2 linked regions of the Xenopus tropicalis genome follow. The protein of the gene in region 1 interacts with the protein of each later gene in a biochemical or structural test. Links are inferred from orthologs where the notes say so. Each region holds a gene or a part of one and is shown on either strand. Other genes may lie near its edges. The genes, in order: anxa7 and sri.

Region 1 (4,315 bases):
TACTCTGTATGTCCAATGTATGTAACCCACTTATTGTACAGCGCTGCGGAATATGTTGGCGCTTTATAAATAAATGTTAATGTAATGTAATGTAATAAAAGGTCCTGTGTGCTGCAAACTGGGCATGCTTTTGGTTTTCGCCATCATGGTACGCACAGTTTTTCATTATGCCCATCACGTGGCTTGCTTGGCTATACCTTACTATGGGGATATTGTTATAAAAATTAACAAGATTACCCCAGCTGTAGTAATACATAGCTCTATTAAAGGAAAAGTAACACTAAATTTTTTCAATTAAAATATCTATCCTACCCTGCTCCAATAATTGCCCTATCTTGCACACAATTTATTATTTTGAATGCTTTATTAGAAAATACCTGCTAAAACTTTGCTTCCAGTCACTTCAAATACGGCGATACTCCCTCTGCACAATCCACTATGCGACAATCCACATCTCCTCCTAGCCCGACTCCAAAACTGGAAGTCAATTGTTTGCTTGTACAGAATGAAGGCTATGAGGTTATGTGGATCGTCGCATAGTGGATTGTGCAGAGGGAGGATCGCCATATCGCCGTATTTGAAGTGACCGGAAGCAAAGTTTTAGCAGGTATTTTCTAATAAAGCATTCAAAATAATAAATGGTGTGCAAGATAGGGCAATTATTGGAGCAGGGTACAATAGATTTTTTACTTAAAAAAATTTAGTGTTACTTTCCCTTTAAGAAAGGCCCTCTTGTATTAGTTGTATTTTTGTATTCACCTCTATGTTCCTAGTGGTCCTATAATTGAAGAACAATCCCACATTGAGATTGGGAAGATGGGGGTGGGGGGTACCTGGGCGTTAATCGGTATGGCCCAATTTTGCCCTCATTGTATTATTTAAATAACGGGGACAACCATCTATTGTACAGCGCTGTGAAATATGTTGGTGCTTTATAAACATTGTTAGTAATGATAAGGAAGAGTCTACAAACATTATAGGGGGCAATAAGAACAGATGTCTCCTTCCAGTCCACACGCATCACATGACCTGGTGCCCAGGGAGGGGCAACAGAGCCTCCCAATTCATGCCACTGGCATGACCAGTAAAATATTCCGATGATAACATTTTGCTTATTTTTGGCTACCAGAGCCGTTGCAAACACTGCTGTTTGATTAGTTACCAAAATAGAAAAAGCATCTCCTGCGTTGCTTAGCAACCATGTTGCGAACCTGCTGTACAGAAGTATTAAGAACACTGTATTGTTCAATAGCGGACTCTGCAAATAATGATATTCTGTGTTTAGTACAGAGGACAATGCAAATGGGTCCAAAACGTATAACTCCTAAAAACGTCCTTAGAGCTTGCTCGCTGCAAGTTTTCGGTTCCTATTTGCGCTCACCACTTCCCATTTTCAGCACAGCCCCGCCCACCAGTAGCCCCGCCCACCAGCTAAAGTTGCCCTTCGCTTGGAAGTTACGCAGTACAAGGGCACGCCCACCTTTCTTCCGGGTGCTTTGGTGTCCCCGCCTTTCTCCTCCTGTCTTTCCTGAGGGAGATTTAATTTGCGAGCTCCATCTTGTCAGCGCCAGGTCTCGGAAGTCTCCTTCTCACAGAACTCCTGCAAGCATCTGACAAGGTGAGGGCTCTCACGGCGGGGCACGGCCAGGGTAGTGCAAATATGCGATTCTGCTGCAGTTGCTGAGCTGCAAACCTTAGTATCTAGGTGTCTGTGAGGATGCTGGGAGTAGTAGTTTATTGAGTTTCAGCAATTAGTAGCTTGCTATAGGCTGGGGTAGTCCGATAACATGGCAGCAATAGAAGCGGCATGAATATAAGGCTGAAAGGCTGGGATCTCTGTCAGTAGAAGGCAGGCTTTGCTGCTGGAATGTTGCTGGGCAGGCACCACAGCCATTAGCTACAACTGCAAGCCCGAGGCTAGTGCCTGTCATAAATGCTGGGGCTGGGTGTGTGCCCCACACGGATCCCAAACAGTTAATCCGGTGCAGCCACACCCAGGAGGCTGCCCCCCCCCCCCTTGTCCTCCCCCCCCCTTGTCCTCCCCCCCCCTTGTCCCCCACTGAACTCAATGCAACCAACCCCTCAATACACTCTCATGGGAGAGCTTTCCCGTGTATTACAGGGATTCACTGCCCCAATGAAAAATAAAACAATATAAAATTAAACCAACTTCCCAATATATTAATTTTATATATTTTAATATTTGTAAAATGTATAAATTATTTGTACATGCTACTAAAAGTTTGTTTTTCCCATTCTGTTCTCTAGTTCTGACTCTCAAAAGGTAGGCTCCTGCTACTTCATCTCATTAGTCAGAACCAGCAATGCAGATAATATAAACCGACACTGCTTTCAGTAGCATTGTTACCAGCTATTGTAAAATTATTGACCATTTTTAATAAATGGGTGTTGCATTTGAGCGTTTCTAGCCAACGTTCCCCATTAGTGGCAGCCATTTTCACTTAAAACTAATGACCGGGTTTGGGCGCTTCTCTGCCAGCTGAAAAGCGTAGGAGGAGGATATTCCCTGCATGCCAGGTGTTATTCATGGCCCACCTATATGGAAAACCTTTATTGTAGGTGAACCCTCACACTCAACCCAAGAAACCCTCCAAAGACAGCTAAGAGACCTTTTCCCCCTTTTCTTTCTGCTTATCAGCAGTATACTAATAAATAATAATTCCATGTTTCATAAACTAACAAATCAATAATACAATTCCAAGTCCTTATAAACCAATAATAAAGTTCATGTAGGAGGAGTCCAACATAAGGTTGACTGTAGCAGCCTTAATGGCAATATTAAATCAAAGTAGTTCCTAGCCATCTATCTCCTAACTTTCTTTATTATTGCATGATAAAACAACCTTTGATCTCTAAAGGGTTTATGACTGGTGGCTGCCCTTAAAATACCCTGTTGTTACCAAGAACATTTTTAATGGCAGGTGCTGGCCTAGCCAATACAACATTCTCATGTAAATAACATAGTTTTGCTTTGTGTTACATGCCCTTTGTGCTAATCTATACCAGATATTTGTTGGACCTCCCTACTCTGCATACATCCTAATTATGTCTTAGCGAATGCTGGGAATCGAATTACAGCAACTTCCGGGTAGTGTGTGTGTGGGGGGGTGAAATGGTGCAACGCCTCCTGCCCTGCCCCCCGTTGTTTACATTGCCAGTCAGTTCACCAGCGTGCATAGCCATTACTGTACAGAGCACTCCTGCGTGCCCTTGTCCAGTTTCTTTTTCGTGATGTATGCCAGGCACATTATCTGCCACGTGCTCCAGCAGTAGTGGGGTTTTCTGTTAGTGGTGTCTATTTTGGAGGGCTCAGTTTAAATACAACTTAAAGGGATAAATTACATATAAAAAGCATGGCTGGCTTACTGTAGGATTGAAAGCTGCTTGGGGTACTTGAGATAAGAAATTCTGTCCCCAGTCTGCCAAGTATATTTATAGACCCTTTGTGACCTATACAAATATGTACTTTACAGTATAAGGCTGATGCCAGACGTGGCGTTTTTACGCTGCATATTTTCTAATTCTCTCGGCGGCTGAAAAACGCACAATATCATCATCCATAGAAATAACTTAAACAGTCTCGATGGAAAACACACTATGCGTAAATACGCTAGAAAACGCGTTACCACGGACTTTTCATGCGTTTGCCGAAATACGCCATTATTTGAACAGCAACCTATTCCTATGTGTACACAAAGGCAGCTGCCAGACTTAGCGGAAATACGCAGCGTTTTTACTATTTCGCACTATTAGCACCATGGGAAATGGGATTTGCTACATCACCAGTACTAGGCTGAAAAACGCCATAGTCAGGGGCTTTGTGGGTTGTGCGGCGTTTTTAGGCGGAGAAAATACGCAGCGTAAAAACGCCATGTCTGGCATTAGCCTAAAGGTGGATATCCTTTTTATTGATGCCTTCATACCCCCAAATACAAACAAGATAAGTCTTATAGACATAGAAGAAGGCTTTTTTGTTTGTTTAATGGGGTGTGGGGATATTTGGCTAATATTTTCCTAGAATAGAATCTCTGCAACACAGCATATATGATAGGCTGTGATCAACTGGCTGCCAATCGAAAGTCTGGGGGCTATAATACACTAGTGTTACAAATGAGGGCACAACGTTCTATTTTTGTTTTGTGATATTGCCCTTGTACACTTTTTTTTAAGGGACCAGTTGCCTGACAGGTGTCAAGTGCTTGTCATGCAATTTCAATATACGTCTAAGGGGGGCTGTTTAGGACACTTTGACTGTCTTGTTTTTAAGCAGCTCAAAACCATGCTGCCAGACTGC
Region 2 (4,360 bases), on another chromosome or scaffold:
AGTTTAGGGGGGCGGCCTTGGTAGGTTTACAGTTGTGCCATACTCCTTCCATTTCTGAATGATCGGTGGAACAGTGCTCTGTGGGATGTTAAAGGCTTTGGAAATCTTTTTGTAGCCTAAGCCTGCTTTAAATTTCTCAATAACTTTATCCCTGACCTGTCTAGTGTGTTCTTTGGACTTCATGGTGTTGTTGCTCCCAATATTCTCTTAGACAACCTCTGAAGCCGTCACAGAGCAGCTGTATTTGTACTGACATTAGATTACACACAGGTGCACTCTATTTAGTCATTAGCACTCATCAGGCAATGTCTATGGGCAACTGACTGCACTCAGACCAAAGGGGGCTGAATAATTACGCCCCCCCCACTTTGCAGTTATTTATTTGTAAAAAATGTTTGGAATCATGTATAATTTTCGTTCCACTTCTCACGTGTACACCACTTTGTATTGGTCTTTCACATGGAATTCCAATAAAATTGATTCATGTTTGTGGCTGTAATGTGACAAAATGTGGAAAGTTCAAGGGGGCCGAATACTTTTGCAAGCCACTGTAAGCTAAACAGGTCTCTTGGGGAAACTGCGACTTGCATCTTTTCGCTTTTCTGCTTGCCGAAAATATCCGCCCTACGCCTCGTCTGGCATTAGCTGTAAGGGCAATTTCATCTTTTTTCAGCAAAACTGCAATAACACATAAAACAGGACCCCAAAACCCCCAGAAATGGTTCAAGCTTTAAATAACCTGCCATATTTAGTCAAATAGGAGTGGTATTTAGGGGGTGTGGTTGCAAAAAATTGCTGCGGCATTTATTTTTGTTCCTCTTTCCGTTTTCAAAATGTTGGGAGGTATGCTATTGGGGAAAGATCCGCTCATTTGGTGATCTCGCCAAACAAGAGAATCTTATAACTTTTACCTTTACACATAGGTCACCTTTATATATACATTGGGGACCTAGATAAGAAAACTTGCACCCATACTGATGTGTATGTATGTATAACTTTATTTATAAAGTGATACAAGAGTACGCAGCGCTGTACAGTCTTACAGAATACACAATTACACACAGGGAGGACAAGTGTAATAAATACAATAAATATATAAATACACAGGGAGTAAGTGCCATGTGGGATGAGACACAGTTGGAAGGAGGTCCCTGCCCCTAGAGCTTACAGTCTGAGTGATGTGCAACGTTCTGACTGAAAGTAAGAGACCTATATGCAGTAGCCCAAGGGCATTCTAGGGAGAGCCCTGTTATTACAAGGTAGTATAGTTATGTACTTTAGTAAAGGCGTGGGCTGACAAGGCTAATCCCCGAGTGTTTGAGCAGCTCAGAGGGCGGGCCTCCCCTGTGTGCGCCGTTTCCCGGGTTGGGGTCACTAGTGCACCTCACTCACATTCCGGATGCCGCCCCCGCCCATCGTGGGTTTGAGGCAGTGCAGAGCGCGATGGGAGTGGCCGCTCTTACATTGTATCCGCTGTGGGTTAAAGATCAGATACGCAGTGCTGTGTAGGCTCACTCACTCTCTGCAGCGGCCATGGCGTATCCGGGACAGCAGCCAGGAGGCTATTACCAAGGAGGGGTAAGGTGCACACGGGGGGACTTGGCCGCACGGTATTTGGGCTTTGACGTAGGGAAACTCTGAGTTTGTATAAAGTACTGTGGAACTGTATAGGAACATACTTGGGGCTACTCTGTGTTATACTGGAGGGAGTAGTGGGGGTAATGGGGATGTGGGAGCAGTGTCGTTTGTTGGAATGAGACTGAATGGCTGTGTTCCTATAGATACAGGCGTGTGATGTTCTGGCAATGTAGCAAGCAGTAAGGGAGCGGGTAAAGCCATTCTCTGGGGGGGGGGAGCAGCTGAGGAAAGGTTATTATCAGTCTGTCAGGCCCTGCTGCTGTGCTACCTACAGGCCCTGGGAATTGGTACATCCCATAATATAGTGTACTTTCTCCCATTGCAGGCCATGTATTCCTCAGCCAGGAAAGTAAACATATCTACATTAAAACATTTCCCATAGATAGTTGTAGCAGCCCTATCACTTATTCTGTGTTATTTCTACTTTGTAGTTTTACAGGATAGGGGAGTAGGGGACACTGGCAGGGCATCTTCCCTCTGACAGGCACTAGTTACACAACATATCATTATTATTATTAACATTCATTTATAAAGTGCCAACTTATTCCACAGCGTTGTACAATAAGTGGGTTTCATACATTGCATAATGCAATACACAAATCCATACATAATAAATACATAATGCAAAACACAATCCTTGTGTTAGTTATGCAACATATAATATAACAATATATGTTCTGTGTTCACAACTTAGATGGTTGCTGTGAATCAAAGTATATGATGGTTAAGGCAGCTCACTTAATGGATGTAATAATCGTTTTTGAACAGATAGACCGCTGGTATTTCAGGTTGTGGTGGGCTTCTTGTTTTCTTCAAGGAGACATATCCTATAAAAATTAGGAATGTACCAGTGAATTATACTCCTCCTAGCTATAGAAGGATTGTGCTTAAAAAAGTTGTTTTGGACTGATTTATTGAGAAATTTCACCAAAACCCTGCTAGTCCCGCCCATCTGTTCCACTTCCTGCTGGCTGAATTCTCTGGATGTGTGGGGGAGCAGCAGCACTCAGCACAACTGCACTGTAGGATGGGAACCAATCAGCAGCTAGGCTGACCTGATAGGGAACTGAAGCCTGTCTTTGCTTGTGTGAGTGCAAGGCTGTGATTGGCTCTCCCCCTCCTACTGTGCTTCTGGCAGGGACCGTTACGACACGCCCATCCTTCATTTTAAACACGGACAGAGAAGTGATAGGATCTATAGGGAGTTCCAATAAAGGGCCCATTTTTACAGATAGGATTAATGTTTAGCCCAAAGTGAAACCAGCACCGTATATTATTCATAATTTCCTACAAAATTAGGGTTTTTCCCATTTATTCAATCCTTTGATCAATCAATCAATCCTGAACATTTTCTAAGGCAAGTGACTTTACTGAGCATAAATTATAACTGGTGACATCCCAAGGTACCATTTATGTAGGGAATAATAATAACCTCCCCCATTATAATATAAATATATAGTAAATAATGTATGTCCTATTGTAAAATATTAGGATATTAGTCACCAAGGCGTTCCATGACCATACAAAAGCATAAAGCCGAAAACCAAGTGCATTTATACAGGTATTGGAACTCTGAGGAGACTTCTGATATCTTCATATTTTACAACAGGAAGTGCATTATTTATTTTAATACACAAGTTTCAGTGAGTCATGTGACTTATAAAAAAATTGCATCATTGAGCACCAAATATAACTGATATCACTAAGCAAGCTTTATAAGGATATACTTTACAGGATATTCATGGCTTTTATGCATTATAAGTATATGAGTTGTTACCAAGGAGAACCATACACTAGGGCGCATGTACCTAAGCACCTTTTATAACTAATTGCTTCTTTAAGCACCATTCATAATTACTTGCTGTAATAAATAATGGCTATTAAAATTAATATTAATGGCTCATTTACTATAAGATTATAATATACAAAGATTCATGAGTATCCTGTAAAATATAGTCTTAAAAACTGTGCTCAGAAAAAAAGTGATAGCACTTGTTTCCCTACAAATCGTAATCAGACAGAATAAATAACATGATAGCCTGCAGAATATGACGTATAAGTCCCCTTGTAGTAAGCTGTATGAATATGGCATTTAGCAATATGGCATATAGTGTATGTGTATAATTTAACATTTTTCTTTGCAGGGTACTCAAACAACAGTGGGTGCAATTTTGCTCTCTGTGGATACTATAAACAAAATGCGAAACAGCAAAACGTTGTTATTCCAAGGTGCTGGGAGTGTTTATATAGTGCTTTTACTATGCATTCAGTGGACAAGCTCGTTGCTTAGCACTGGGTAAAGGTTAATGTTCCATAGTTACAAGGCACAAAGGTTTCTAGTCTATGGTTATTCTTTTATGCCAGAAAGAACAGTAAGATATTGTCAGTTGTAGACAGTTAGTCTTTTATACAGTAGCTGTAACCTTAGTACCCTTTTGTTCCACTGCACTGCATCTAATGCTGGGTACAGACATATGAATATTTTTGTCAGCTTAGAAACCAAAAATTAGCAAGCAATATTGTTCTCACCTCAAGTAGCTGCTCTGTGTATAAACTGACAAATCCACATACAATGTATAGAATTAAGGTTGATTTTCAGCCTGTGTATAAACACAGCCCCTATGCTTGAATCGGTGATCTTCTGCATCTGGACTGGGCTGTTTTGGCCTACGTAAAAGCACAAGCATTGGATTTCAGCACTGGAATGAATAATTGCGCTTTT

The links.
Region 2: the proteins of anxa7 (region 1) and sri interact in a biophysical measurement, tested with the Homo sapiens proteins (2 studies listed by BioGRID and IntAct, with this or other methods). The link is inferred for Xenopus tropicalis from reciprocal best matches to the Homo sapiens genes ANXA7 and SRI.

Annotation. Positions count from the first base shown.
Region 1 is NC_030683.2:39,537,351-39,541,665, forward strand, and holds the start of anxa7 (annexin A7), read left to right. Parts: upstream 1-1,474; 5' UTR 1,475-1,618; intron 1,619-4,315. UniProt on the Homo sapiens protein: Calcium/phospholipid-binding protein which promotes membrane fusion and is involved in exocytosis.
Region 2 is NC_030682.2:30,841,162-30,845,521, forward strand, and holds the start of sri (sorcin), read left to right. Parts: upstream 1-1,482; 5' UTR 1,483-1,533; coding exon 1,534-1,578; intron 1,579-4,360. UniProt on the Homo sapiens protein: Calcium-binding protein that modulates excitation-contraction coupling in the heart. Contributes to calcium homeostasis in the heart sarcoplasmic reticulum. Modulates the activity of RYR2 calcium channels.